4 linked regions of the Lonchura striata genome follow. The protein of the gene in region 1 purifies or fractionates together with the protein of each later gene. This does not show direct contact. Links are inferred from orthologs where the notes say so. Each region holds a gene or a part of one and is shown in the gene's direction. Other genes may lie near its edges.

What was found.
Region 2: the proteins of RBX1 (region 1) and FBXO42 purify together in Homo sapiens (affinity purification with mass spectrometry; 4 studies listed by BioGRID and IntAct, with this or other methods). This does not show direct contact. The link is inferred for Lonchura striata from reciprocal best matches to the Homo sapiens genes RBX1 and FBXO42.
Region 3: the proteins of RBX1 (region 1) and FBXO22 purify together in Homo sapiens (affinity purification with mass spectrometry; 4 studies listed by BioGRID). This does not show direct contact. The link is inferred for Lonchura striata from reciprocal best matches to the Homo sapiens genes RBX1 and FBXO22.
Region 4: the proteins of RBX1 (region 1) and FBXW8 purify together in Homo sapiens (affinity purification with western blotting; 6 studies listed by BioGRID and IntAct, with this or other methods). This does not show direct contact. The link is inferred for Lonchura striata from reciprocal best matches to the Homo sapiens genes RBX1 and FBXW8.

The regions. Positions count from the first base shown.
Region 1 is NC_134607.1:24,897,018-24,904,095, forward strand, and holds the start of RBX1 (E3 ubiquitin-protein ligase RBX1), read left to right. Parts: upstream 1-3,960; 5' UTR 3,961-4,016; coding exon 4,017-4,094; intron 4,095-6,360; coding exon 6,361-6,439; intron 6,440-7,078. UniProt on the Homo sapiens protein: E3 ubiquitin ligase component of multiple cullin-RING-based E3 ubiquitin-protein ligase (CRLs) complexes which mediate the ubiquitination and subsequent proteasomal degradation of target proteins, including proteins involved in cell cycle progression, signal transduction, transcription and transcription-coupled nucleotide excision repair.
Region 2 is NC_134626.1:6,609,734-6,617,765, reverse strand, and holds the start of FBXO42 (F-box only protein 42), read left to right. Parts: upstream 1-4,856; 5' UTR 4,857-4,941; intron 4,942-8,032. Other genes in the region: SZRD1 (SUZ RNA-binding domain-containing), read right to left, coding at 994-1,044. UniProt on the Homo sapiens protein: Substrate-recognition component of some SCF (SKP1-CUL1-F-box protein)-type E3 ubiquitin ligase complex. Specifically recognizes p53/TP53, promoting its ubiquitination and degradation.
Region 3 is NC_134613.1:4,671,337-4,678,934, forward strand, and holds the start of FBXO22 (F-box only protein 22), read left to right. Parts: upstream 1-4,397; 5' UTR 4,398-4,451; coding exon 4,452-4,555; intron 4,556-4,644; coding exon 4,645-4,777; intron 4,778-5,731; coding exon 5,732-5,819; intron 5,820-6,141; coding exon 6,142-6,237; intron 6,238-7,083; coding exon 7,084-7,248; intron 7,249-7,598. Other genes in the region: UBE2Q2 (ubiquitin-conjugating enzyme E2 Q2), read left to right, coding at 395-490, 929-995, 2,708-2,739. UniProt on the Homo sapiens protein: Substrate-recognition component of the SCF (SKP1-CUL1-F-box protein)-type E3 ubiquitin ligase complex that is implicated in the control of various cellular processes such as cell cycle control, transcriptional regulation, DNA damage repair, and apoptosis.
Region 4 is NC_134620.1:3,366,146-3,373,368, reverse strand, and holds the start of FBXW8 (F-box/WD repeat-containing protein 8), read left to right. Parts: upstream 1-4,216; 5' UTR 4,217-4,219; coding exon 4,220-4,507; intron 4,508-7,223. UniProt on the Homo sapiens protein: Substrate-recognition component of the Cul7-RING(FBXW8) ubiquitin ligase complex, which mediates the ubiquitination and subsequent proteasomal degradation of target proteins.

The DNA.
Region 1 (7,078 bases):
CTCTGTCCTGACCGTGTTCCTCTGTATCAGCTGCAGCTGATTGTTAGGTGTGGTGTGGGACCCACTGTGTCATTTGCTGAGCCCGCAGGCACAGACCCAATTGCTTGTTTGTTCATGTGTGGGGAAAGGCTCTGCAGGAGTTTGGGCAGAGTCAGTATGTATCGTATCGTGGGTTTTGCAAGCACCCACTTTCCTGCAGGCTGCCACAATGGTTGCATGTTATTTTAGTTATCAAGCAGTTCAAGGTAAAATGCCAAGAGAAAGGAAGAGCAACAATCAGTCACCATCCCATTAAATGCTACAACCTGCACCTCTCTCAGAACCTTACCTGTTCCTTTTAGCCAGTTCGGAGGCTCCCATTCTCTCGTGAGGTTTTAATAATGGCTTATAAAGACAGGGGTACTATATGGGCTTTAATGTGACCATCATCTGGAAAACATACACAGAGGTAGGGTGTTTGGGTTTCCACAGAAAGCAAACACAGTGTGGTCCAAAAATCTATGGGATATATTCCTTAACGTACCCCTCTGGCTCTGTCCTCTGAATTCAATTTCCCTATGCCAAGCACACTGAATCAACTGGAGATGCTACAGAGCCTTATACAAAGCTTTGCTGGGAGGTTGTTTGCCTACTTCTTGAACTTTGAGATTGTGGCAACACAGAATAACCATAGATGCAATATTGCCCCAACAGTAATTTATGAATGCTGTCTGTGGGCTTGTGCATCCAAAAGCAAAGGGTGCTAGAAATCCCAACTTGGACAACTCAAATAATTTTACTAGCATCAGCAACTGGAAGGCAGCCAACCAGTCAGCCCTACAGTTCTTTAAAAAGTAATAAAGTGCACCTGATTTATTTCTGCTTGATGCTGCTTAGGACACCATTGAAACCATACCTTAAGCAGGTAGCACTGAGATGGTGAAGCAGAGAATGGCAAGAGAAAACTTGAGGTTTGTAAGCACTTAGAAAAGGGCCATCTCCCTCTTTGCTCCTGGCAGTCTTGGAAGGCCCATACTTAACTCTCAAGACACTCACTCTGAAGAGTGTTTGAAAGTTCTGCAATTCTCTTTCAGACCAGCTCTTTTCCTAACTAACCCAAGTGCCCCAGAAAGATCCTGTCACACTGGAGGACCAGTCATGATAACTGCTCATCTTTTCTGCGGCTGGAAAACAGAATGCAAACAGCTCAGGCAGTGAGGACTAAGCAGATCCACCTTTTCTGTCTGCATTTTCCTTCTAGCTCAGTTCTGGGGGATCCTCCCGCTGCCATGTGGATCCCTCTTGCCCCGGAGGGTCAAGTTGTGTCAGTATGGCCACCACCAAGCCTTCTGCACCACCTTGTGCAGGTGCAGAGCCAGGGCTGCAAGCAGCCACCGCTCCAGGAGCAGTTCCACAGCAGTCCAGTCAGGAACACGCATTCAGAGTGCATGTATGGAGGAGGGAAGCATTTGAGGGATAAATCCCACATAGGATAATGTTTGTGACTGTAGAAAAATAAACAACAAACCACCAAAAGAATGAATATAAAGGAGAAGGGCAGTGACCAAAATACAAGACATTGGTTTTGAAAGGTTGGTGGTACATTGCCTTTAGGAACAGTCTTTGACAACTGGGAGAGAGTTTGTGTCATTTTAATTGGGACTAACCATATTCACAGCAGTTGTCACATGTCACCTAGTCTGTCTCGCTGCCTTTTCAATTTGGCAGCCTTCTCTTTTTCCTCCTGCATGTCCCAGAGGTTTGAGAAATGATCCATTCTTCAAAGCATCCCTGGTAATTTGGACCACAGTGTTATACTTCTTTTGAAACTGATGCCTTTCAAAGCTGCAGCCTTTCTTCCTGCAGCAGCTCCTGACAACCCTCTATAATATATAGCCTTAAGAGGGGAAAACAGGTCTGAGGAGATACACTTTTACTAGAAGGGAAGACATTAGAGACAACACTAAAATGAAAACAGATTATTTCAAGCAAAGAAGGTAGCTTAGCCATTTTTATGAAGTGCAGGACTATACTGTCACTAATTTCACTTTGAAAAATGTACTGGAGATCTCTCAATGCACTTATTGGTAAAATGCATCTGCATACACAGATCAGTAATTATGAACTAACTAAACATGGAGATGCAATATGTGTTCTGTCCTGCACCATGTTTGCTGTCTTTCTTGTTTTCCTAACACTCCTACCTTTTTAGCAAGACTTAACTCGAGATCTGTGTTGTTACGTTGTTTTTTCTGCCAGATAAGGAAAGATAAATCCAGAGCACGTGACTGCTGGCTGTATGGCTTTACCCCATTGGCAACCACCTCCCCCTGGTGATATCAGCTGAAGTGGTGAGACTACAGTTTTATACTACATTAGTCACTTCAAGTGAAAATGAATGTTAACATCTCTCTGGTATGTATATGCCCTAGTCTACGTGTTTGATCAATGTCCTGGTTTCTTGAGAAATGTCTTGCTGGAGACGTTGCCATACACATTTAGAAATTAAGGTTAGTATTGGTGCTTCTATTAATAAGAAATCTTGCAAATTCTGATTTGAAAATAGCTATTTTCTAGAAGGTGAAAAGTATACTTTCTGAAGAACCCAACTCCCCTTTTCAAAATACTCCTTTGCAATAATCCTGAATATGGAGCAACAGGACAGAAATCTGAATTTGTGCAGCTGCAATTTATAGTGATAGAGATGCCCCATAACCAAGCAGTATCTGGGGAAAGGGGCAGTTCAGTGAAATGGAAGCTTACCATGTAGGTAATGAGAGGCATTAAAGGGTGTTTACATGAGGGAGGGCATTTTTCTTCTTCAAACTTACCTTTATTGCCTATGCAACTTTCAGGCTCAGCCTGATGCTGCAAATATTTAGGTATGTGCATAAGTCAAGGCACAAGTGGTACATGTCTTTTAAATATTAATCCAAATCCAAACATTAAAATAATTCAAACACATCCAATGCCAGCATCATCTCGTTCTTACTGTAGGTCCCTACTTTAAGTTTAAGTCTATTTGGAGACTGTCAGACACTCCACCCCAGCAAGGACTGGGTTTCAGGAAAAAGCTGTATGCACACAGCAAGACGGGTAGAATGGAGGCAAACCAGAACGGTGCTGTTGGGCCCAAGTATTTATGAGAAGTAGAGTACAGATATTGCTTGCCTGTATCTATGCAAGAGAATGGCCTTTTAGTGCTTCTACAAACTCCTCTTTCCAACATCCATGGACCAGCAGTGTACAAATAGATTTAGAAGGGGTGGCTCTGCAGAGAGATCGCGTCTACAGGGACCTGCAAAGCTGGGTGAAATTTCAAGATCTATAGTTGTCCTGCTGGGGAGTGTATTGCCCTCAGTTTCCATATCATGGAGAATACTACCACTGACCTTGTCGGGAAGGTACAGACAGAGGAAGCTCCAAGAATCGGCCACCGTGCCTGTCATCTCCTCTCCATCCTTGCAAAAGAACAGGCAAGGCCTGGGCAACTCTGGCAGCACCTTTAAATCCATATTGATTGTAACTATTGTAAACTCAAATCGCACGCTGTAAGGTGCGCGTCCTGTCTTCAGCAATTCCATGTTCCTTTTTAAAAAACTGGACTTGCGGGAGAATAAAGGGCTACAGCGGCAACACCGCCGACCCCACTTCGTCCTGCCTCGATTACGATGGGCGAAAACAAGTTAGAAGTCTACTGAGGGCTGAAGCCCCTCATGTGAAGAGGGCGGGGGGGCAAATCCCAAGAGACTGTAGGGGGACGCTGCACCGAGAGCCCGAGGGCTGCGGGCAGAGGGATGAGGTAACTTTGGCGCGGCCCCGCCCTTCCCACCGCCCTCAGGAGCGCGCTCACGTGATCGCGCCCACGTGATCGCGCCCTCGGCCCCCGCACCTGCCGGCGCGGTGAGGGGCGGTGGGGGGCGTGGCCATGCGGTGACCCCTCCCAGCGCCCCCGCTCCTCCGGCCCCCCGGCCCCGCCACGCCCCGCCGCGCCGCGCACGCGCGCAGAGCGGGACGGGCCGATTCACGCTCCCAAAATGGCGGCCGCAATGGATGTGGACACTCCCAGCGGAACCAACAGCGGCGCCGGCAAGAAGCGCTTCGAAGTGAAGAAAGTGAGGCCCCGCCGGCGCGCTCCTCTGGCTGCTCCCGGAGGAACGGGGGTGGGGCTGGGGCCGGCTTGATGCCAGAGAGCGGGACGGAGAAGGGAGCGAATTCCCGCTCCCTTTACGGAGCCGGGCGCCTGGTTCCGCACCGGAGCGGTGGGAGGGGCGGCGCGAGGCCTGCGGGGAGTCCTGGCGTGCGTCCTAGCCAATGGCTGAGGCGGGCCGCCGCACGTGCAGCGGGAGCTGGCCAATCAGCGGGCGCCGCTGGTGGGGGCGGGAGCAGGGGCGCCGACGGGCCGGGGGCGGCCCTGTCCGGGGCTCTGCCGCTCGCCTCCTCTGACGCTGCCGCCCCGACAGGACAGGCCTCGGCTACTCCTTACCCAGAGCTCGGGCGGGCGAGCAGCGCTGGAGTGCTTCCAGCTCCCCATCACCCCCGGCCGCTGTGGCGTGGCCCAGCCGCCCGGGCTGCCCCATATGCTGCGTAAAAAGCTTTCTGCAAATGTCTGTGGCTGACTTTTTCCTCCTTCTTACATAAATCGAGCCATAACAACGTATTAGTGAGCAAATGTTCTCATGCCACCCTGGCTTTGCTTCCTCGCTCAGAGCAGTCATAATATTGCTCTCCTATCCAGTGCCACCAGTTTGTCAGCTGGGTCATGGTGATGGTCTGAGGCTATTCACGTGGGTGTAGAGAAGCAGGATTAGATTGTGTGGGCTTGTACTAAGGTACAATTTGAGGAAAAGTGTCTCCTAGACTGAATATCAGTAAACATTTCCAGTGATTCCTGCTTGTAGATATATTTGTTTAAAATGCAGCTGCCATCAGTGATGATGGAAACCCCTGGATATGTGCAGAAGGAAGTGTTTGGGTGACATAATTGCTTGTCCTTTGGAAATAGGGACAAATATAATCAGAGTGGTAGGAAGTAGCAGCATTTATATGTCAGTGTCATTCCTGCTCCCCAGCAAGGTATCAAGACCTTTGTTGCATGTGTGGCTCAGTACAGGTGTGTGGGCCATCAGAGTAGACCATAATGGGACAAGAGATTAAGTATTGGAGTGTATGGAAGAGATAAGGGTGCTGAGAACTTTTATCTTAGCTGCTTGAAGTATGGATGAAGTCCATGAGGACTGAATACTTCAGCCAGAAGGCCAGCTAGTCTTGAAGTTAGAAGACTGGGAAGAAACATGTGATCACTACTGGTGCATGTCCTAAAAGATCTAGTAGTATTGTGACTACTTTTTATATCTGTACTAATGAAAAGTTGAAGAGCTTACCCAAGTGTGAAACTGCCTATCAATACTTGGAACTCAGTGTTCCTTCTTTAATGTCCCAAACTGAGGGAAAGCAATGAAAACATTGAGATGGAAATGGAACACAGTAGAGAAGATAGTACAGTCAGTGCAAATATATACTGAAAAAATGTAAGGGGGACAAAAATCTATACTACGTAAGTCGTAAATGAAGATTATCCTGATACCAGTACAATATTTTGGATTGTTTTGGATATTGAAGGCAGGCCCATTTATTTAATGAGTTTACAGAAGACCTGATTATGAGTTTTGTCTGGAGGCATAAAAAGGTTTTTCTGCATAGCTTGTCCTAAAATTCTCAAACCCCCTGAAGTAGCATGTGACAGTGCTATTACTTTTTTGTATGTATAAAGTAAGTCTTCGAAAGATTGATTTGATAGTACTTTGAAATTTTTATATCCAGCCTTGCCGATAGGTTGTTGCTTATTAACCTTTTGTAGGGAACATTATTCAGGAGTCAGTGGAGAGTAGCATTAGAGATTTAGTTCTTGACCCCAACTGCTCAGAAGGATGATTACTAGAAGAACTGCCACAAATAATAGGAATTCCTCTTAACAAAAATTACATCTGAATTGGTCTTTCTCCAAGGGGCTGTCCTTTCTTTCAGAATCTAGGGTTTGACATGAACTACTTCCTTGGATTCCATTGGATCTTGAATAGAAATCCAGATGTTTGCATTTGTTTCACAGAAAAAAAAAAGTGGAAGGGGGACTGTGGGAGTTACCTTCTTTTTCAGGTGGGAAGGAGACGTATCTGGGAGGTTTGTGAGAGGAATGTACCACTGCTTCCTAGTAACCTAAACTCTTGATGAGGAATTGTTCTGGACTTCTAAGATTTGTTTTTTCCTTAATATCCTAGCTTTTCTATTTCAAAAAGTACCTGGTATCTTGAAGAATAGCAAGGATTGCTGTCCAGCGTAAATTGAATCACAACTGTTTTTCTTTTTCCCCCCTCTCTCCAGTGGAACGCCGTAGCTCTGTGGGCATGGGACATTGTGGTTGATAACTGTGCCATTTGCAGAAACCACATTATGGATCTGTGTAAGTACATGGGGAGGGTCACATTTGGACTTGTATGTGCTGAATAGCTGAAATTACCCCAGCTGAGGATATAACTCAGCACAGTTTTCAGTTAGTAACTAATTCTTCTGCTAATCTCTATTTTATGTAATGCTGAAGTCTCATAATCTATTTTTGTGACCTCTGTCACCATACTGTTTCTTCCTCACCCTTTTCTCATAAAGGGTAGGATCACTTGATGCCATATCAACAGACATGATGCTGTTGAATGTATTTTGAACACAGCAAAGGAAAAAAGGAGTAATAATAAAGAGGAACTGAAATTATTCAGGGTTGACAGGCATTGCTTACAAAGAAAGATCTTATGAGCTGGGGAGGTTGCTATGAGTGTCAGCTTCTTGATGATACTCATTAAGATGAAGTCTTGTAACACTCTCTGTCTATCCTGGGCAAGGAAAAGCATGGACCAGCAAATTAATTTGACTCCTCGTTCTATGAAACATACCTTATCTAACTAACTTAGCACATGTTATAGTAAGGGGAATTTTGTAGCCACCTAGAAAATTATCCGCTCATTTACAAAGGAGAGTAATAAAGTGCTAAAAAAAACCCCAATACATTATTAGTATTGGTTTAATTTGAATTTTTTTTTTCTGTATA
Region 2 (8,032 bases), on another chromosome or scaffold:
GGACTGGCAAAAGGGGTGAGAAAGGACAAGTGACAGGGATTTCTCCTTCTAAGGAAAAGCACCTGGGAGGTACCAGCAGGAAGGACAAACTGAGAGGACGCTCCATGGCAGGATTGGAGCATCAGGACCATTTTAAACCATTACTCAAGGCCACAGTCATGGGGCTGCCGAGGCTGCAGCCGTGTCCGTGCATGGAGCGCTGGAATTAACTCCGATCCCCCGGCCTTGGCAGGAGGGGCGGGCGAGGGCTGCGCTGCCAGCCTGGCACTGGCCCCTCTCGGGCGTTCGGTTACAGGCTGGATTTTGCTCCCTGCCTCTGGCCAGCTGTAACCCAATCCCTCGCCCACAGTGTCCCGTCCAGGCTCCGGAGGTCCGCGTGCCCTCTGATCCTCGGGAAAGCGCTGAAAGCAGAGTTTGCCCGGCGGAGTTTCCCCTCGCAGGGGCGGCTGTATGTGCAAGCACAGCGCTCACAGACTCGGGTCCCCGAGCGGCGATGCCAGCCCAGCTCCGGAGCCGCTGCTGCAGCAGGGCCCAGCCCCAGCCCCGGGCCGGGACTCCCGGCGCTGTGCCCGGGGACGGAACACGTTCCGACCGGGGAAAGGCCTTGGGTGTGCGCCCGCAGCCCCGCCGGGGGCGCCGCCACGCCGGGGTCGCACATCCCGGCTCCGCTCGCCCCTCCTGCCTCACCCCGCGGCCAGCGGAGCTCTGTGCGAGCCCAGGGGGGTTTGCGCACCGAGCAGCGGAGGACGGGCAGGGAGCTGCTCGGAGGAGGGCCCCGCAGCACCGGCGAGCAGCGGGGCTGGGGGCGGCGCGCAGCCCCCCGCGCCGAGCGAGCCCGCGGTCCCTTTAAGAGGCCTAGCAGCGCCGTGCGGCCGCCGCGCCGCCGGACGCGCCCCGCCGCCGCCCCCTCAAGCAGCGCCGCGCCGCGCCGCCCGCCCGCGCCTCCCCCCGGCGCCCCGGACCCGCCGCGCCGCGCCGCGCCGCCGCCCTCACCCCGCTGTCGGCCGCCTCCTCCCAGCTCTCCGCGACCTCCTCATCTTCCATTTTAATTCCCGTCCGCCGCCGGGCCCCGCGCCCCGCGCATGCGCGCGCCGCCCGCCGGCCCGCGCCCGGCAACGCACGCGCGGCGCGCGGAAAGGGCGGGAAGCGGCGGCGGGGCGGGGCGCCACAGCGCCCCCTGGCGGCCGGGAGGACCGCGCTCGGCGCGTGCGTCTGAGGCGTTTTCCTTCCATTTTTGTGTTTTCCTTCAATTTTTGTGTTTTCCGGAAGTTTTGAGATGTTTTCCCTTAATGAGATATTTTACCTTAATTTTGGTGTGTTTTCCCACAATTTTGAGGAGTTTTCCCTTAATTTTTAAGTGATTTTCCTTGATTTTGGTGTGCTTTCTCTTAATTTTGGGGCCTTTCTCTTAATTTTGGTGTGTTTTCCCACAATTTTGAGGAGTTTTCCCTTAATTTTAAAATTATTTTCCTTTATTTTGGTGTGCTTTCTCTTAATTTTGGGGCCTTTCCCTTAATTTTGGTGAGTTTTCCCACAATTTTGAAGAGTTTTCCCTTAATTTTTAGGTGATTTCCCTTGATTTTGGTGTGCTTTCTCTTAAGTTTAGGGCCTTTCCCTTAATTTTGGTGTGTTTTCCCACAATTTTGAGGAGTTTTCCCTTAAAGTGATTTTCCTTGATTTTGTTGTGCTTTCTCTTAATTTTGGGGCCTTTTTTGTTTGTTTGTTTTCCTATAGTTTTGTTTTCTCTTAAATTTTTGGGTCTCTTATCTTAGTTTTAGGGTTTTTTCTCTTAATTTTGAGCCGTTTTATCCTAATTTTGGGTTATTGGACAAATCTCTCCTCAAATTTAGGCTATTTCAGCCACTAATCCAGCCTCTGGTCCCTCCTGCAGACATCCAGGTGTCCGTGTGTCCTTCCATCCAATTTGTGCCTCTTTATTTAAGCCCAAATCTTCTCTTATGGAGCACAAGGATCAGCTCCAGCCTTCAGAAACATCCAAAATCCCCCAAGCCCCCATAATTTCTTAAACCTTTCTCATTTATATCCAAGATATTCACCACTCCGATGTTGTCCTTTGCACTCCGAGCCACACAAAGCTTTTTGGAGTGGGATTTGCTTTTCCTTTTCCTCCCTCAAAAAGCGCCCCTTCAGCATCCTAAAAACCCCACAGGGTTCACACAGGGAGTGGGAGAACCCTTAAAATCCGAATTTTTCCCCAAATTCCCACCTAAGAGCCAGAGTTTGCCGGCAGATGGCGACTGACTCCTAAAAATATCCCAATAATCCTCCAGCTAAAACAAATCCTTATCCCTGCGGTCTGCCCCGACCCTGAGTCTCCCGTTCCTCTGCCAAGCCCAAAATTTGGGCAGGGAACCTCCGGACAGGCCGCAGGTGGATTTTGGGGGGATGTTTATCCAAGGTGGAACTGTTGGAGGGGGTCTGGGGGTTGTGCAGTGCTCCATGGGCATTAAATCCTTGGATTTGTGCATTTTTGGCAGCTCAGCGGGGCGGGACTCGGCGTTTCCCCCCACCAGGAGAAGCTGCAGCAGGCTGGAGCTGTTCCTGCTCATCCTCTGGCGTTTTCCCAGAAGCAACAGGAGCTGAGTTTTCCAGCAGCCAGAGCCTGGCACGGTTGGCTTCATCCCTTCCAGTGTTCCAGCGGCGCTCCCTGGGACGTTTCCTTCCATCCTGCTGTAAAAAATCCCCTTCCCAGCCATGCCTGAGCCCGAGCAGCCCAAAAAAACCAAGCGGGATCTGTTGGGAATGAGGCACTGATGGCTGTGGCACACAAAAAGGGGGCTCACCTGGAAGGAGACCGTTGGAATTTGTGGTATTGGTGATTCTGAGATTGTAGGAAGTCTCTGTTTTTTTGTCCCGTTGCTAAAGAAGAAGCCATAATTTGTCTGTGTTGGTTGTTAAGGTTGTTTATTCTTGCTTATCTCTAACATGTTCTGCTGCCCTGCCATAGGTGTGGGGCTCTTTTTTTAGTGGGACATCACAAACATTATATATTAGAAACTACGTGTGCCATATTTACAATAATGGGCCAATATTTATAATTTATCTTGAACAGTGTGTCCCCAGCCTAAACCAACAGAAAAATGCCAACACCACAGTGAAACATGGAGGGCATGAAGAAGGAGAAAAAGGACAAGGCACACCCAATTTCCTCCATCTTGTCCCCTTTGGACCCCTCATCTAAAATTTTACTTTTGCACCCGTGCCACAATTATTACTGATATCAAACACTCAGAGCTGGTAATTGATCCTGTAAGGTTGAAAACTCTTTTCCATGGCCAGAGATCACAGCCAGTGTCTCTGGGGGCTCTGTCCAGGGGGGTTCCTGACCCCTGCCAGGGTGCCAGGGCAGCCAGAGGGAAGCTCTGGAATCCCACAGGAGACAAAACCCACATGTGTGACCAGGTTATCCCAGCCCTGCACAGGGACACCCACAGATCCTCCCGTGTTATCCCAGCCGTGCACAGGACACCTGGGATATCCCACAGCTCCTCCCGTGTTATCCCAGCCCTGCACAGGACATCTGGGACATTCCTTGGCTCCTCCCGGGTTATCCCAGCCCTGCACAGATCCCCCGGGACATCCCAGGGCTGCACCCAGGTTATCCCAACCCTGCCAGGGATATCCACGGCTCCTCTCGGGTTATCCCATCCCGGCATAGAGCACCCGGGACATCCCATAGCTCCTCCTGGTTTATTCCAGCCCTGCACAGGACACCTGGGACACATCCCATAGCTCCTCCCGGGTTATCCCAGCCCTGCACAGGGACATCCCAAGGTTCCTCCTGGGTTATCCCAGCCCTGCACAGGGACATTCCTTGGCTCCTCCCGGGTTATCCCAGCCCTGCACAGATCCCCCGGGACATCCCAGGGCTCCTCCCGGGCTATCCCAGCCCTGCACAGGAACATCCCAAGGTTCCTCCCGGGCTATCCCAGCCCTGCACAGGGACATCCCAAGGTTCCTCCCGGGCTATCCCAGCCCTGCACAGGGACATCCCAAGGTTCTTCCCGGGCTATCCCAGCCCTGCACAGGGACATCCCTCAGCTCCTCCCGGGCTATCCCAGCCCTGCACAGATCCCCCGGGCCATCCCAGGGCTCCTCGCCGTGGATCCCGGCTCCCCACGGGCTCCTGGAGCCGCCCTGGGGCCGGGATGCCGCGCGGGCTCCTCCATGCGGGATGCGGCTCTGTGGGACACGCAGGGTGGCAGCGATCACCTTTTCCCTGGAGAATAATGTCCCACCGGCGGGACGCGATGCCAAGACACAGCCCCGCGCAGGGCTGCTCCCCCATGGAATGGGCTCCGCTCCCTCCCTTCCTCACCGCCGTGGGGAGAGGGGCAGCCCTGAGGGCACGGCCACATCCCGCCTCCCTGCCGAGCCCTCAGGCGCTCCCCGCCTCTGAGGGGCACGCAGGGACACGGCGGGGCTGCCTGCGGGCAGAGCGGGTCCCCGTGGCCCAGCCGCGCCTCCCGGGGCTGCGGAAGAGGGCGGGACACCGGGAGAGAGCGGGAGAGAACGGGACAAGGAACGGGACAAGGAGCGGGAGCCGCCCCGGCATCTCCGCCTCAGCGCCGCCCTCCCCAACATGGCGGCCTCGCCCGCCCGCCTCGCCCACCACGGCACTAGGACCGTCCCAAGATGGCGGCGGGACCAGCCAAACACGGCGCTCCCCGCGCTGCGCCGCCAAGCGAACACTTGACCTTCCCATCATGGCGGCACCATAAGGACACTCCACGCCCGCCCTATGTCACGTGATGTCGAGGGCGGTCCCGCGCCTGCGCAGTGCGCGGCCGGCGCGGCCGGGGCAGCGGCGGGAGGGCGGGGAGGGAAGATGGCGGCGCTGGTCGGAGCCGTCACCGGGGCGACGCAGCGGCCCCGCCGCCCGCAGCCCTGAGGGCCCGGCCCGGCCCGGCCCGGCGGCAGGTGAGAGCGGCCCCGCGGTTTGCCTTCCCCGGGCGAGGCCCTTTTCCGGGGAGCGGGGCGGCGGGACGGGCCCCTCGGGGCGGGACAGGCCTGGTGTGGAGGGGAACCACATTTGAGGGTGGAGGGTAAGGGGAGCCCCTGTGCCAGCCCCTGTGCCAGTCCCTCACAGCGTTTTGGGGGTGGCTGCGGAGGGCAGAGCCCACGGGGGGCTGCAGCCCCTTCTGGGAAGGGGAAGCCCCTTCCCAGCTCTGGCAGCCCCGGGGCTCCCTCAGGGCGGGGAGAAAGCGAAGCCTGCCCCCCTAAAAACCGGGTTGCCCTCTAAAAAAGCCGTATTTCCCCGCTGAAAGCCGTGTTTCCTTCCCAAAAAGCCAAGCTTTCCCCCATCCCGAAAGCAATGTTTCTTCCACGATATGCTGTGCTTCCTCCCTAAAATATATGTTTCCCCCCAAAAAGGACATTTCCCCAAAAACCTCATGTTTCCCCAGAAAAGCCATATGTTCTCCCTAAAAGCCGTGCTTCCCCAGAAAACCTCGTGTTTCCCCCAAAAGAAACACATTTTTCTCCTAAGACCTCTATTTTCCTCCCTAAAAGCCATGTTTTCCCTCAAATGCCATGTTTCCCTTCTAAAAGCCAGGTTTGTCCCCCAGACTCCATCCTTCCCCCCAAAAAAACATATCCGCCCCCCCCCCCCAAAAAAAAAAAAAGGAAAAAAAATAAAGCTCAATTTTCCCCCTAAAAGCCCTGTTATCCCAAAATTCAGTGCTGGCATAGGGCAGTGCCAAGGCGCAGGCTGGCAGTGCCGGTGGTGGGGGGAAATGGCTTTTTTTGGGGAGAAATTTGGCTTTTAGGGGGAGAGCATGGCTCGTCGGGGAGGAAACAGCTTGTGTGTGGGGGGGGATATGGTTTTTTGGGGGCAAGTATGTTTTTTAGAGGGGGGATCAGACATGGCTGTGGGTGCCCCCCCAAAACCTCAGCTCGCGTTGTGTTCGTGTGAAAACAAAGGTGAGGCTCGGTCCCCGCTTGAAGCCGCCGGGTGCGTGTCCGTGCCCCGCTCTCGGAGCGGGATCGAGCTGCCCAGCCCGGCACCCCCGGCGAATTTGGGGTGTCGCTCCCATTGTCTCCGCTGCCGGTGTCCGCTCGGGGCTTTGGGAGCGCGGTTCGGGATTGATTTGGGGCGGTGTGCTTGTCACGGCGGGGCTGGGCTGGGCTGAGCAGCGCTGCAGGAGCTGCATTATCTCATCCTTCCCAGCCTCTCGGCTTTTCCACTCGCCTTTCCCCGTCACTGGGGCCGGGAATCTTTTAGGAGGAGCGGGAGCAGGGCTGGGGTGGCTCGCTGTTCATGACCCGAACTCCAGGGAATGCTCGGAGCAGGAACAAAAGGGGAGCGGGGAATGGGAGATAACCCCGGGATCGCCGGGAATGTGGTTTGTGCTCGGCTGGCTTTAATCATCCCTGGGAGCCGGCTCGGGTCAGCAGCTGGAACTCTTCCCCGTGGCTGGAAGGATCGGGAATTGCGGTGAATTCCCGCGGAGGAGCTGCTGACCTCAACCCCCGCCCTGGATGGGAAGGGACCTTTCCCCACCTGTCCTTCAGGAGCGGAGCCTCCCAGGGAAGCCGCGGCTCGGGGGCGGTGCCGCGGTGTCCTGACAAAGTGCTTTATATCGCGACATAGCCACGCAGCCGAGGCTTGGCCTTTCTGGAGAACGAGTGCCAGAGTGAGAGGTTTCCTCATTCCCACAGCCCTGGGTGTTCCCACTACCATCTCTCCTTCCTTTTCCTTATGCTGATGCCAAAGAAAGGCTGAAAACCGTGATTTTTCCCTCAGGTTATGTCCGCCTAGGCTTGGTATTTCCTTGGTGTTACAAATGGGAGAGAAAAGAGCAAAATCTTGGGCAGAATTGCAGCTGTTTCATAGAATCGAGAAGGGTTTGGGTTGGAAGGGCTTTGCAGACCATCCCTGCCATGGGCAGGGGCACTTTCCCCTATCCCAGGTCCCTCCAAGCCTGTGCATTCCCAGCTCAGGAATGGTCTGGCTGTACGTTCCCAGTTCAGGAATGGTGTGGCTGTGCATTCCCAGTTCAGGAATGGTCTGGCTGTGCATTCCCAGTTCAGGAATGGTGTGGCTGTGCATTCCCAGCTCAGGGATGGCCTGGCTGTGCATTCCCAGCTCGGGAATGGTCTGGCTGTACATTCCCAGTTTGGGGATGATCTGGCTGTGCATTCCCAGCTCGGGAATGGTCTGGCTGTACATTCTGAGCGTGGGGTGATGTGGACACTTTTTGCAGGGCAGGGTGGTGCCTGCCTTGCACAGGTGTTGTTCCCTGGTGTTGGGCTCCACGCTGTTCTGCAGGAGTTCGTGTCTCCGTGCTCGGGCGGCGGCAGAGCCACATCCCGTGGTTGTTTTGGCGTGGCAGGGATGTTTGTGTGTATTTTTCCTGCTGTGTTCCCTGACAGGTGACTCCACCCAGGCAGCGTTGCTTTTCCAGGGTGGCAGGTGAAGCTCTTGGATTCAGAAAGGCTCTGGACAATTTAATCATTTTATCAACACGCAGCATATACGATTTTCAGTTTCAATTGGAGTTTCCTCCAGCCTTTATTCCCTGGGACTCCGTTTTTCCCAGAGTTTGGCTGCTGGTGCAGCCCTGAGGGGAGCTCACCTGCAGTACACGTGCTGCTGCCCTGCCTGGGCTTGGAATGAAGGTGGGGTTGGTTCATTCCCACTGCTGAACGTGGGTGACCTGTGATTTGGGGATTGCAGCCACTGCGTCGGGCACCTTCTGCAGAGGTGTTGGGATGTGCTCCTCATCCCGTCCTTAATCTCAGGAAATGCAATGCATGCAGCAGTCTGCACATCTGCCAGGAGTGACAGGTTTGGAGTGGGAGCGCGGGGATGGTCTGGCTGTGCCTTTCCAGCTTGGGGATGGTCTGGCTGTGCATTCTCAGTTTGTGAATGGTGTGGCTGTGCATTCCCAGCTCAGGAATGATGTGGCTGTGCATTCCCAGTTCAGGAATGGTGTGGCTGTGCATTCCCACCTTGGGAATGGTGTGGCTGTGCATTCCCACCTTGGGGATGGTCTGGCTGTGCATTCTC
Region 3 (7,598 bases), on another chromosome or scaffold:
TAAAGCAATACCAGAGATGAGCAGAATTCCTACAGCTTACTGAATTGACTTCATTAGAGATCAGTCTTTCCTACTTCTTGGAAAAAGGGGTTGTAATTTCTGTTGTGACATTGATGAAAAAGTGTTAATGCTGTAAGGATGGAGCTTTTTTGTTTCTGTCTTTCTATATTTTGGAAATGTGCTTCAGCCTTTTCATTCTTCTTACGAGTTATTAGTACTAGGACTGTATATAATTTTACAGATTTTCTGTGGAAAAGAAATGTTAACTGAAAATAAGTAGTTAAAACTTGAATGCAGGAAAAAAAATCCTAAAGCACATGTTCCAAAACAGGTTTGCAAGGTGAGCACAAGAAGCAAGTATATGTTGTATGTTGGCATTCTTTTCCTCCTCCAGGGCTGGAGCAGTGCCTACTCAATAGAATCAGTCATCATGCAGATCAATGCCACTTTAGTCAAAGGAAAAGCCAGAGTACAGTTTGGAGCCAATAAGGTAAATGTACTGTGTTTCTTAGTTACACAAATCCCTGTTGGGATTCCATTTCCTTGCTGACCCACATTGAGGATGCTTAATGACAAAATTGTTATGGCAAATATATATGCATTTCAACTTGGCGGGTGCCTGTATGTGTATTTTATTGGCAATTAAACATTTTTTATGTAATTACAAGCAGATGAGTTAGATAGTCTTGGGATGGGCAGGGTAGGCTTTTACTGTCCTTGTATCGGCAAGGGAGGGGGAGGCAAGGAGGATTAGAATTGGGAAGATTTGGAATTTCCAGCTCTGAGAAGGGAATCCTGAAAGCCAGGAATGTTATAACATTGTGTATGGAGTTTATTTTTAAGCCCACTGTAGAATTTCCTTGTTAGAACTGTTTTTGAGTCTTCATGTCTAGATGCAGGTTTTTATGTTAGTTTTTTCTCCTTTCAGAATCAATATAATCTAGCAAGAGCACAGCAGTCCTATAAGTCACTAGTACAAATACATGAGAAAAATGGTATGTATATTCTTGCCACTTTGTTCTTGTCTGCACAGCACCTTGGGAATTGGTGTTTGCCACAGAGAAACTTGAAGTGACAAAGTGTCTTATTTTGGCTTGGGAAGACCATTAATGTTTCTTCCTTCTTCTTGCACTAGAAAAGCAGTAGTGCTTAAATAACTTCACTGCAATCACTGCAACTTTTCCAGTTTACTTGAATGTTGTGTGTGTTCCTGCTGCTTCTTGAAAGGCAGCTGCGTATTGTTTTCAGCTAGTTGATCTAGGGACTTTATTGTTACTGTAGCATTAAGTATTAAGGACTCTTTAATATTGGTGAAGTATCTGCTGGGAGTTTATCCCTTTCCCTGAAAGATTTTGTTTCAATGTGTCAAGAACCTAGTGGAAATAACATTAATGAAAGAAAAAAAAAATAGGGAAAAAAGACCCGAGACTAAAACATACAAAAAGTCCAAGTGAGGTGTACAAGCTGGGAAAGTGTACAATAGAATAGGGAAAAGCGTGTTTTGGTATGGGCTTTTTAAAATCTCTGCTGCATAAAACAAGTGTACAAATGCTTCAGGTACAATTGAATTTACTGTGGCAGTATGAGAAGCTTGAGGCTATAAAAGGTTTAAGTAGCTTACATGTTACATAAAGGTAGTCAGCAGAATTGATACTCTGGTCTTTTGATGATAGAGCCAGCGCAGTTACACTTCCATGCTGTTCAGGGCTCTGGGTTGGACACAGTGTCCTCCAGGAACTGAGGTCATTGTAAATGTGTTTGTGAGCACCTCAGCTTCCCTGCTGCTCACATGGAACATAACTTGTTCCTTGTACTCTTGGGAGGAAGATCAAAGATAATGATTTAACATCATCTCAAATTTTACAGTATTTTGATCTTGCCGTTAACTGAGCCTTTTGCCTTTTCGTCTGCTACAAAAGCCAGCGTGGCTGTTTACTTGTATGTGCTGCAAGTGATCAGTCCTGCCTCAGGATCTGTACACAAAGCCTTCACAGTACTCAGTGCTGCTGTGAAAGGTGTCTTAAGCTTAGAGGTGCTATTTGCTCTCTGGGACAGCACAAACAGGCCTTGTAGTTACTGTACACGTTTAAAGGAAATGTTACAAGAGGGGCTGGGAGAATTAAGATTGGAGCTCTGGAGGTCTCTAGAAAAAGCAGTGCACACCTGATCAGGTGTGATTCAGCTGCTAAACATGCCAAATTAGGCCAGGAGACCAGTTATCCATCTGACATTTCTGAGCTTATTCCTATGGTAAGACTTGCAGAAGTAGGATAAGCCATTCAGTTGCTTCTGCATGCCTAACTCTACAGAACTCAAAATAAGTGTCCCAGTGCAGTCACGTTTATATGTCTGTTTTAAGTAGCTTGAAGACTTGTGGGTTTTACCTCTCTTCTGTTAAGTTTGGTTAGAGCAATGTTCCTCCTTCAGCAGCTTCCCCTTGTTAGTGTTCCGCTTGTCCAGCTCAGGATAGCTGCTGCTGTAGAAATCTGTGTGTGCACACCCAAATACCAGGTCACATCCTGGTATGTGCCACATAGTTTGTCTTGCACTGCTGACTTACTCGCATTTAGGGCACTGGGTCTTGCTGAGCTGGCCTGCTTTAAGAGGGAAGGACTGAGCCAGGTTAGGCTTCCATCTCCCACAGGTGAAGAGTAGGATGGTCTGGACACAGCAGCTTTGGTACCTAACATCTCTCTGTTCTCCACAGGCTGGTACACTCCTCCAAAAGAAGATGGCTAAGGCTGAGGACTGTTGTATACCTGGACCAATGTCAACAAAACAAGCTCTTTTTTATGTTTCCCAACACACAGACTCAAGCTATGAGTGCCCCTATAACAGCTGTACTGAGGACTTTAGCTATTAGATAAGTTAGTGGATATTCTGTCAACTGACACGTACAGTATAAGTTACAGCCTTACCATTCCGCTCTTAGGCATCTGGACTGAGCAGTTTGGGCCTTTACCATATTTGTTCTTATGGAGTAAGCAGATTTGGGCCACACCCTCCCTTCTCCCTTTTTTTATTTGAAAGCATAAACTCTCCCTGCAGCAGGCTATTGACTTACTAAAGATCATACAATAGGAGTGAGTTGTTCACACACTTCTGTGTATTTCTTACTTTCTGCAAAAGGCAGACTGCAGAGACTTGCATTGTATTGTTTCATTTAAAGCCAAGAAGTTTAATACATTGTTTAATACTGTTTTAGGAAATGTCAGGTCTTGCAAATCACAGTAGTTTTTCTGGTCTAAAATGACAGCGTTTGTAGTATTTTCCGAATTAATGATATAGGAAAAACACATGTATGTTAAGTCATTAAACATTTTTCATGGCTGTATGAGAATATGAACTTTTTATTGGAAAATATGCTCTTTGTTTAGATTATTTTAAATTTTTTGTTTGTTTTTTTAAATTTTGTTTTGGTTTTTTGGTTTTATGCAGAGCAAGGCTGTGCCAATAAAACCTTGTAACTAGTCATGTCCACTGGGGCATCAGAACTTGCTGGACTGTTCCTGCTACTTGTTGGCTCAAGCTCCTTAACAAGAGCCACAGTATGAAGCTTGAAGTTATTTAAAATACTAAAAACCTTTTTAGGTGTTCCATTTTATTAACGGGTTGTTGCAATCATTTCTAAACTAATGAACTTATAAAGTGATTGGCACAAAATGAGATGAAAGTCCTTGAATGAAAATTTTTTATATAAAAACGACAGTAAAGTACGAAAACATGTCATCCAGTTAGAGGTGTAAGAAATGCTGCCATAGTCATGACGGTGGCTTTGTTATTGAAAGACTAATGGGAACTGTTCTTTCTTTATTAGGAGATGAGTCTGGGTCTGTGTACTTACACAATTTCATTGCCTTACCGGAATCGACTTATTTTGGTTGTAGTACTTCCTATTCCTTAGGCGTGTGCACTCCTCGGGGCCGAGCAAAGGGTGTGTTCCATGGATTAAGCATTTCAGAAGTGCAAAAGCATGTTTTTATGTTGGTTTTTTTTTTTAGTTGACTATCGAACTTATGCTCTTTTCTCTATCAGGCGCCCGCGGGTCCTTGTGCATTTGCTTGTAGATCCAGTTTTTAGCTCGAAAGAAGCGAGCTGGGCGAGGTTTAGCGCCGCTCCCAGGGCGCGTTGTTCCGGTGCGCCGGGGCTGGGGCGGCCCCGGCCTGCGCCCTGCGGCGCATGCTTCGGTTGGGGTTCCGTTTCTTCTGGCAGAGTTCCTCGGCAATGTACAGTAATTTGTAAACTTGCATCAAGTTTATGAATAAAAAGCATTTTACGAAGCGCTGTGTCCGTGCTGGGGCCCGGGGCGCGAGGGAAGGGGGGAGGTGAGAGCGGGACGGGTCCTCCCCGCCGCCAGGCGGCGCCAGTGCACTGGCTCCCCGCTCGCGCTGACCGGAAGTTGCCGTAGGCGCGGTGACGCGGGGCAGCGGGGCCGGGGAGGCGGCGGGGCCATGGACTCCGCGGCGAAGGGCGGCTACGTCCTCGCCAACCTCGCCGAGGTGGTGGAGCGTGTCCTCGGCTTCCTGCCCACCAAGGCGCTGCTGCGCGCCGCCTGGTAAGGGCCGGGACAGTGGGGTGGGCGGCGGCCGGCTCCGGTCGGTGGGGGCGGCGCGGCTGACGCGGTGCGTCGGTGTTGTGTTGCAGCGTGTGCCGGCTGTGGAGGGAGTGCGCCCGGCGGACGCTTCGGACGCGGCAGCGAATCGCGTGGGTGTCGGCGCTGGAGCCGGGCCCCGCCGAGAACCACGCGCTGGTGCGCGCGCTGGCGCGCGAGCTCGAGGTGAGGCGCGCGGGCTCGCCCCGGGCGCGGCGGAACGCGCGGGCTGGGACAGCGACGCCGCGGGACTGCGCCGCCCGCAGCGCTCCGTTCAGCCTGCTGCTGGTCCTCACCGCACAACGATTCGTGTCGGGTCTTCAGCAGCAAACAGCCTCAGCGGATCAGCGTTAAATCAACTGGGACAAGATGGGCCGGAAGCACCTCTACGCTGTTTACCAGCATCAGCACTGGTGACAGTAGAGGCCAACAACCATGAATGCAATGAGTTTAGATAGTGCTAAAAGAGGAAACAGAGTCATGGGCCAGTCTGCTGAGCTGTTCTTCCTTCTGTGAGGTTTGGGTCAGCTTCCTGCCTGTGGGCAGAAATGCCTCTGGGCACTTTTGAAGCTAATGAGAGGTTATCTGTTGGCTGGCAGGAGTCTGGTAAGGGGGAGGGGACCAGTATGGGCTGGCGGTGGAGCAGGAGCTGTTTATCCTCGGTTTCTGCCCCCACTTTCTCTCCACTCTGTCCTGTTGTGGCATTCACATTCTCTGGACAGAGAGACGTAATTCTGTCTCTCAGGAGAAGTTCAGAGAGAAGAGAAAACAATCTTTATCTCTGCTCCTTTGTTTTTCCCATGTGGAATCTGGTATGGAGATTGTTTACCTGAATTTATCGCTGGATTGGATTCTGGTGAAGGTTGTTTGGGTTCAGTGTCCACCTGGACTGAGCTGTGGCTCGGACTCTCAGCAGGCAGTCACAAGTTTGTTAGTTGGTAATTAGTTGATAGGTAAGAAGTACGTATGTAGAATAGTATAGTTGCTCTTTAAATAGTATATTAGTGTAATCTAGTGTAACTTTATAAAGCTGTCCTTCAGCCTTCTGATCTGGAGCCAGACATCATCGTTTCTTCCTAGTTGGGGTTGCCTTTTTTACTATAGTCCTGTCTATGTACTCCTCCACCTGTGTCTTTGCAGAAGGTGCACGTGCTGCCCCAGACCGTGCTCTACATCGCTGATGCAGAGACATTCAGCGGGCACGAGGAGTGTCACGAACAAAAGAAAGGTAAAGCCTGGACCCAACTCACTCCCACTTAAAGACATACTGGATGTGAGTAGAGCATAGTCAGCTGAAAGGGAATTTTCTGTGTTTGGGTTTCAGTGGAAGGGAAATGTTTTGCAGAATCCGTGACTGCGTAGTGTTGCATTTACGCTGCGTGTTTGCCTGCCGGCAGCTCTCAGGGAGCAGCACAGACCAGCGTGCTGTTACCAGGGCAGCCACGGATGGGCAGCATTGGTTAAACAGGATGGGATCGGCTGTGGGATTGCCTCAGAGCACACTTTTACTGCTGTCTGATGGTTGTATTGGTTTCTTCTTGTTTTAACAGCCAGAAAAAGGAACAGTAAAGAAACAGCACTCGCACTTGAAAAGTTGTTGCCAAAGCGATGTCAGGTTCTTGGACTGGTCACCCCAGGGATTGTAGGTAGGAGCAAAATGTGTGGGTTTTTGAGAGGTCAACTTGAAGGTGTCATCTCAGCACTGTTCAGCACTGGTTTCAATTTTAAGGAGTTCACAGTGTCACTACTAAGTGATGTAGTGTTTACTTCATGTATTACAGTTAAAATTAAAAGGGTTGATTCAGTTAGGCAGGCAGCTTTCCCTGGCACCTTAATGTACTTACTGAATGTTGCTTGGATTTATATATAATTTTCAGTCATATTGTGACCAACTGTAGAGGGCATCCTAGTATATACCTGTTGGAAATGGTCTAGCAGGAGGCATATGCAGTAACTGGAAAGTTCACAGCCTCCTGTGGCATGCTTTTTCTCATTCTCCACTTTTATCATTAGAAACTTGTTTTTTTATGGTTTCTCACCTTAAATTTGCTTCCCACATTATAAGTAAGGTATTTTGATTGTTGTCATTGCCATATTTTAATAATGCGCTCTCAATTTTTGTGTCAGTTTTGCTTTATACTGTCATCACATGCTTATAGGACATCTTAAAAACTTGAGTATGTCTGTGTGCTTGCAGAAGTTGGCAGGAAGGCTTGTATTGCACTGTTCTTGTTTGCCTCATGTTTTATATTTGGTGTGACTGGGGAGATATATCCATGTCTCCATGTCAAAACGGACTTCAGTATGATCCATAGCCAGCATTTCATCTTTCCAAAACATTAACAAAAAAAAGTTAGTTTTCAATTAGATAAGTTGTTACGGAATTAGATTGTCATGTTTTATGTCACCTGAGCTACCTCTTTCTGCCTGTGTTAGTGTAAATGCTTGTATTAGAATCTCTGAACACCAGATCCTTGGTTTTGTCTCCGTAGTTACCCCGATGGGTTCAAGTAGCAATCAGCCTCAAGAAATTGAAGAGGGCGAAGCTGGGTTTGCTCTGTTGTTTCCCAAAATTGATGGGGTGAAAATTCATACCTTCCATTTTTCTAAAGATGTGAAGAACAGGGTCTTTGATGAAAGCAAATTTGCTGAAGCAGGTATGTAATTTTTCTCTCCTTTACGTGGGCTTTTGTGAGGTGCTGCTCTCTGAAGTGCCAGTCTGGAGTTCTGAGTAGAACCAGCAGCTTCTGTACTGGCTCCAAGAGCCTCTGTGGGGCTCCAGCTGGTGTCTGTGCATCTCTGCTCCTCTCAGTCTCTGGAGTACTGAGGAGAAGTTATCCCCAGTATCGGTTTCCCGTTTACCTCAGTGTCCTAGTTTAGGGCAAATTTGGGAGACAAACCTCTGGAAGGAGCCCCCAGAAAACAAACCCCCACGGCCCCTCCCCACCCACCTGGTTCGGAAAGAATTTCCTCGGAGAGAAGTGGAAAAGAACCTGTTTATTTAACA
Region 4 (7,223 bases), on another chromosome or scaffold:
GAGCCCCGCGCCCGCTGCCGTCCCGACCCCGCGCCCGGCCCGGCCCCGCCGGCCGCCCCGTCCCGCGCCCACCTGTTGCGCGTCCCGCCTGCTCCCCGCTCCGTCCAGCGCCCCTCTCCCTAGAGGCTCCTCCTGCGGATCAGCCAGGCCAGCGCGGCCGCGGGCGTGAGCGCGCAGAGCAGCCCCGCCACGGCGGCCAGGCGGCGGGCGGCCGAGGGGCCGCGGCCCCGCGCCTTGCGCCGCTGCTCCAGCTCATCGCCCAGGCGGCGCAGGCGGGCGGCGACCCGGCGGGCGGCGGCCTCGGGCCGGGCGGCGCGGCCGGGGCCGCAGGGGCTGCAGGGCGCGGGGGGGCCGCGCAGCGCGCACGGGCACATGGCTGCGTCCGCTCGCCGCCGAGCCCGCCGAGTGTGCGGCGGGCGGGACGCGGGCGGGACACGGGGGGGACGGGGGGTTACATCATCCCCCGCGGGGCGGTGCTCGGCCGCGGGCGGAGAGGGGGGAGCGAGGAGACGGCGCGGGGGTGGGCGGCAGGGGGACAGCGGTGGGGCGGTGGGACGGTCTGGGGTCCGGCGGAGGGATGGGAGGGAGAGTGGGGATGGAGGGACAGCAACAGGGATGCAGGTGATGGTGTGGGGATAGAAGGACATGGGGGGGACTGGGGGGAACAGTGCTGGTGTGGTGGGACATTCTGGTATCCAGGGATGGGTGGGAGTTCGGTGGGACAATATGGGAATGGATGGGTGGATGGATGGATGGATGGATGGATGGATGGATGGATGGATGGATGGACGGACGGACAGTGTTGGGACGGAGGGTACAGCACGGGGATGCAGGGACACGGGATGGAATGACAGTGTGGGACTGGGAGTGGAGAGAACAGTGCTTGTGTGGTGGAAGAGTCTGGTATGCAGGGTGGGAGTTCGATGGGACAGCATAGGAATGCGAGGACAGCATGAGGATGGAGGAACAGTGTGGGACAGAGAGGACAGTGGGGAAGGTTGGACAGAGTGGGTCATTGTGGGGATGGAGGGACAATTTGGGGATAGAGAGGACAGTGTGGAATAGAGGGGACAGCGTGGGGACAGAGGGACAGTTTGGGGATAGAGGGGAAGTGTGAGGAAGGTGGGACAGTGTGGGATAGAGGACGGAGGACAGTGTGGAGGGACAGTGTGGGAACTGTGGGGATAGAGGAGACACTGGGGATAGAGAGGACAGGATGGGGGACAATGTGGGGATAGAGGGGACAGAGGGGATGGCGTGGGGATAGAGGGACAGTGCGAGGCTGCAGATGACTGTGGGCTGGAGGAGGGGACAGCGAGGAGATGCAGGGGGGCAGTGAGGGGATTACACAGAGCTGGAGCCGATTTCATCACCCACAGCATTACGGATTCGGATCACATTTCGGGTGGCCGAGGCAGGAGCGCGCAGCCCCCGGCACTGACCCGCGGGCCTCCCCGGCTGCCAGGGCATGGGAGCAGGGCTGGCACCCCCGGGCAGGGCTCCCTGCACCCACCAGCCCTGGGATGGACACGGGGGGCTCCCCGTGGGTCAGGAATCACCCCAAACTGGCCCTGTTTCCCCCCGGCTTTGCAGAGAAGCTGCTGCGAACCTCCTGGCAGATCATCCCAGCCCATCCACCCTCCCTGGAGCAGCCCCACACCCTGCTGCAGGGGCAGATCCTGGTCTGCAATCCCAGCACTGGCGGGGCTCACCAGCACGTGCACCCCAGGGAGACACCTCCTCTAGGTCCCTGCAAGTGATTGTTTTGTAGGGAAAACAAGTCACAGAATCACAGACTGGTTTGGGCTGGACAGGATATTGAACTTCATGCCATCCCACCCCTCCCATGGCAGGAACACCTTTCACTGTCCCAGGCTGCTCCAAGCCCCATCCAGCCTGGCCCTGGGCACTGCCAGGGATCCAGGGGCAGCCACAGCTGCTCTGGGCACTCTGTGCCAGGGCCTGCCCACCCTCACAGGGAACAATTCCCAATTCCCAATATCCCATCCAGCCCTGCCTCTGGCACTGGGAAGCCATTCCCTGTGTCCTGTCCCTCCATCCCTTGTCCCCAGTCCCTCTCCAGCTCTCCTGGAGCCCCTTCAGGCCCTGGAAGGGCTCTGAGCTCTCCCTGGAGCTTCTCCTCTCCAGGTGAGCACCCCCAGCTCTCCCAGCCTGGCTCCAGAGCAGAGGGGCTCCAGCCCTTGCAGCATCTCCTCCTCTGGTCTCACTCCAGCAGCTCCAGGTTCTGCTGATGTTGGGGACCCCCCAGCCAGGGGCAGCTCTGCAGGTGGGGTCTCACCTGAGCAGGGCAGAGGGGCAGAATCTCCCCCTCCTTTCCTGCTGCCCACACTGGGGGCTCAGCCCAGGGCAGGAGGGGTTTGGGGTCCAGCACAGAGGCCAAGGCAAGGCCAGCCTTCACCCACCTGTCCTTTTTGCAGGATTTATACGTACAGGAGCTCCTCCCCTAAATGAGGTAGTTTGGGTTCTTCTTGGACCACTGTTCATGTTCATTAAGTTGGGTTTTATAAACAGCAACCAGCTGTAGAGAAGAGGAAGCATCAAGTGGCCAGTGAGGAAGGCAGAGGTGGACACCAGGGTGGGGGTAATTGCACAAGCTGCTGCTGACAGCATGGGCTGTGTTTTACAGTCAGTTCTAGAAGGATCAGCTGTTTGACTTACACCAACACATCACTTAGCTGCTCTACTTCATTGCGGGCTCCTCAGGAATCATTCTGGTGACTTGAGTACTCATGGCCTCTTTGCTTCCTGGGCAGCTGGACTGGCTGAAGTGGCAGAAGTTTGCAGCTGCGGTTCAGCATCATTTGAACACAGCCTTAGAGCACCAAGGTGCATTGATTGTGGAGAGGAGCTGAGCCAACTTCGTGTCCTCCCCAAAACGCCATCAAAGTGGCAGCTCTCGGGCTGTGGTGGCTGCAGGAGGTGGGTGTGATTCAAGCAGCAGAACACCATCCCAGCAGGTGTGGTGGGCACAGCAGCGGTGGGGGAAACCTGCCCGGGGGTGCCAGCCCTGCCCACCTGCTCAGCTTCAGACGTGCCCAAGAGAAAGGGGAAAATGGCCTCTGAGAGGTACATTGATCACTCAGAGCAGCCACTTCCACGGGCAACAACCCTCCCATGAGACCAGCCATGGCTGTGAGAGGGATGAGGGCTCCCAGTGGGGCCGGCCATGGCTGAGGGTTCCCAGTGGGGCTCTGGGTGCCCAGTGGAACCCAGCCCTGTCCTGGCCATGGCTGTGAGGACTCCCAGTGAGACCCTGCCCTGTCCTGGCCATGGCTGTGAGGGGGCTGAGGGCTCCCAGTGAGACCCTGCCCTGTCCCAGCCATGGCTGAGGGGGCTGAGGGCTCCCAGTGAGACCCTGCCCTGTCCTGGCCATGGCTGTGAAGGGGCTGAGGGCTCCCAGTGAGACCCTGCCCTGTCCTGGCCATGGCTGTGAAGGGGCTGAGGGCTCCCAGTGAGACCCTGCCCTGTCCTGGCCATGGCTGTGAGGGAGATGAGGGATCCCAGCGGGGCTCTGGATGCCCAACGCGACCCTGCCCTGTCCTGGCCATGGCTGTGAGGGGGCTGAGGGCTCCCAGTGAGACCCTGCCCCATCCCCGGCCATGGCTGTGAGGGGGCTGAGGGCTCCCAGAGGGACCCTGCCCTGTCCTGGCCATGGCTGTGAGGGGGCTGAGGGCTCCCAGAGGGACCCTGCCCCATCCCCGGCCATGGCTGTGAGGGGGCTGAGGGCTCCCAGAGGGACCCTGCCCTGTCCTGGCCATGGCTGTGAGGGGGCTGAGGGCTCCCAGCGGGACCCTGCCCCATCCCCGGCCATGGCTGTGAGGGGGCTGAGGGCTCCCAGTGAAACCCTGCCCCATCCCCGGCCATGGCTGTGAGGGGGCTGAGGGCTCCCAGTGAAACCCTGCCCCATCCCCGGCCATGGCTGTGAGGGGGCTGAGGGCTCCCAGCGGGGCCCGGAGCCCAGACCGACCCCGCCATCGCCGCAGCCTCGCTCGGCCCCCGCCGCTCTCCAGAGCCAGGCCGGGCCCTGAGGCCGCCATCGCCGCCCTCGTTGTGGAGATCACAAAACGACGGCCCCGGCCCCAGCACCGGCTCGTTCCCGGGCACCGGCCGCGCTCCCGGCGGCGGCGGAACCTTGTGGCGGCGGAACGCGCGGGCGCGGGGCGCGGTTTCCGTGCCGCGCCGGGCCGGCCCCGCCGCCATGGCCGCGGTGCCGGCGGAGCGGGAGCGGCCCCGGCGGCAGGAGGAGCGGGCCGGGGCCGCGAAGCGGCGGCGGCGGGAGGAGCCCCCTCAGGAGCCAGCGGAGAGGCCGGGGGACGCCCCGCGGGAGGCCCCGGCCGAGCCCGAGTACCTGGCGCTGGCCCGCAGGCTGCTGGCCGGCGGCGTCCCGGCCCGCCGCAGCCCGCCGCCCGCCCGGCCCGCCGCGGAGCCCGCGGGGGACGGAGCCGGAGATGGGGACGATCTGCTGGGACAGCTGATCCGAGACCTGGTAGGGCTGCGCGGGCCGGGGCGGCCCCGGGGCCGTGCCGGGGACAGGCCGGGCCCCGGCGGGCAGGGCGGGCGCGGGGCCGGTGCCGGGGCACGGAGAGGGGCTCGGCTGAGGGGCGGCGAGCGAAGGGGAGTTGGATTTGTGTTCCTGCGTGCTTGATTATAACCTCAGCTTCTGAATATAGGTCCTTTTTAACCTTTAACTTTTTTAACCCTTCCGAATCTGCTTGTCCTGTGTAATGGCACAGGGTGGGATTGTTGGGGTGTCCTGTGCAGGGTCGGGAGTTGGGCTCGGTGATCTTCGAGGGTCCCTTCTAACTCGACATATGCTGTGACTCTATGAAATAATATTTTTTTTCCTCTTAAGATTTTTGTTGTTTACCCAGGCAGTTTGATGCGGGTGCAGTAATTAAGGATATCCTGCCTTATGACACAGCAGCGTAGTAAGAAAACAAGCTTTAATTCTAAATAAAGGAGTTAATTTGGAAATAGTCTTAAATACAGTTCTGAACCACATAAAAGTTATTTTGGTAAATCCTCTAAATGCCATAGAGATGTTATTTACAGTATAGGAAAACTAGGGGGGAAACCCATTTTCTTGTTTCTCACTAACCTCACTATGACTAATTACTCTTTGCTTAAAAAAATTAAAAGGAACAGATTAAATTTCTGTCTGCAAGGCACAAATTAATCCATTTTACAGAATTAGTGCTCCATTAGCACACAGGAGCCCGAATCTGTCTCAGAGGGGCTGGTTGTATATGAGTTTTGGACTCATTCCAGTAGACTTTTAGACAGACTGGTGCTGACTTAACATCCTTGCTTCCTTGTGCTGAGGACAAGCTGCAGGAACTTTTGGGGGTGTGGGAAGACCCGGCTCTGCCCCTAATGTTAGGATTGCATTGGAATGGAATCAGTATGACTTTGTGCTCAAATCGGGATCATCCCCTCCCTGCTGGCACTTTACTAACCCCCATTTCTTTGCTTCTTTGTAGGTTTCTTCTACAGCTACTCTTCATTTAAACTTGCACCCTTTGCAGCGCCAAAGCAGAAAAAAAAGGCACTTCTGGGTTTATTTGAAGCAGGGTATAAATCTTCTTGCAGCTCGGTTTATAGAAAGCCTATGTAGTTGTTTTTTGCTCTTTTTCCCTCCTTTCCTCGAGAGCACCGTCGGTGTCGAGCCTTGTGTCGGCACCGCTGTGCCTGCAGCCCTCAGTCCTTGCAGTGAGCCCTCTGTGGGCATCCAGCCAGCCCGGGATCTGCTGCTTGGACACGAGTCAAGCCCAGTTTGGAAGCAGCACATCCGCGGTGCTGCCGTGCCTGAGCTCGTAAGCCTGGAGCTAACAATCCTTGCCCAGTGGCTCCTGTGATTTGTTTGGGCAGCCCGTGGCTCCGGAGCGCTTCCGCGGCTGCTGGAGCCGGGCGGGATCACATCTGGCCAGCTCGGAGCCTGCCGGCATGTGGCCGCCGAGAGGTTCCCGTTGTGTTTTCCTTGGGTGTCCCCGCTGGAGACGGGTGGGATTTACAGCACGCGAAAGCAAAACAGATCCTGCGGATCCGCGGCGGGGAGCAGAGCCGGCGGCCCCGGCACGGGGCAGGGAAAAGGAGCTGCTTGTGCAGGGAAATTGGGGATGAGGAGGGAGGCAGCAGCAGGGCTGGCTGCAGCTCCTGCTTTAACTAACTTCAGAACAAGTGGAAGGTTCCAGTGTGTGTGCAGTGATATTTTGTTGCTAAAAGACCTGATGGGGAACATTGCCCATGTTTGTGTTGTCTAAACACTTGCCTGGTGTAGAATATACTTTGGTTTAAAAACCACACCACCACATTATATTGGGATTTCCCTGAGTAACTGCTTTAAATAAACCCAGAATAGCCCCTCTATTCTACTTTGGTTCTGCAAATGGTCCAGATTTGAATGAGAAGCTATAGGAAAGACCAACAAAGAAACAAAGGTACCAGGGTTAGGGAAGAGACAAGAGATGATACCGAGCTTCTGAAGGCAAACAGTGGAGATGGGTTTTAACTGAGCAGCTGATTTTGTATGTGAGGATTGATGGACAATGATCAGGAACACCTGGAGGGGGAACAGAAACCAGAGGAAATACTGGAGAGCAAAACTTGTAACATAGAAATGGTCAGAATCAGCTGATTTAGCTCTTTCTCTATTAGAGAATATAAAAATTTTGAATATCCAGACAGGATAAGAGCAAAGATAAATCTTGTGATAACTGCAGAAAGAAGATGTAATAGTTATGTAATTAAACCAAACAAAATACATCTGGGAAAAAAAATCTGTGTATTGCATTTAGCTGTTAGCTTAAATGGATGGATTTAGCTTCATATTTTTGTTTGAGTTGTTCAATTAGTTAAAGGAGGAACAGTTCATATTAAAAAAAACATTTTTATATTAGTAATGAAAGAAACCAACATCATCTCCATTCAGTTTTATTTAAAATATTTGTTCATTTTCCCATCATATGGGATTGAAATCTTGCAGGTGAAATTAATAATGGGCATATGTCTTCAAAGTGATCATTTATTGGGCGTTTTTGGCACTTTAGCCAAACTTTTACTAGAACTTGTGTCTTGCCTTTCTCTGCCCCTTAAAGGGCCATGAAAAAAGGGAGGGGCAGAAAAACAGATGTTTTCATGGAGCTGTGGTGGCCCTGAGGACACACCATTCCTTCTCCATACATGGTAACTTCTCCTGCTGTCAA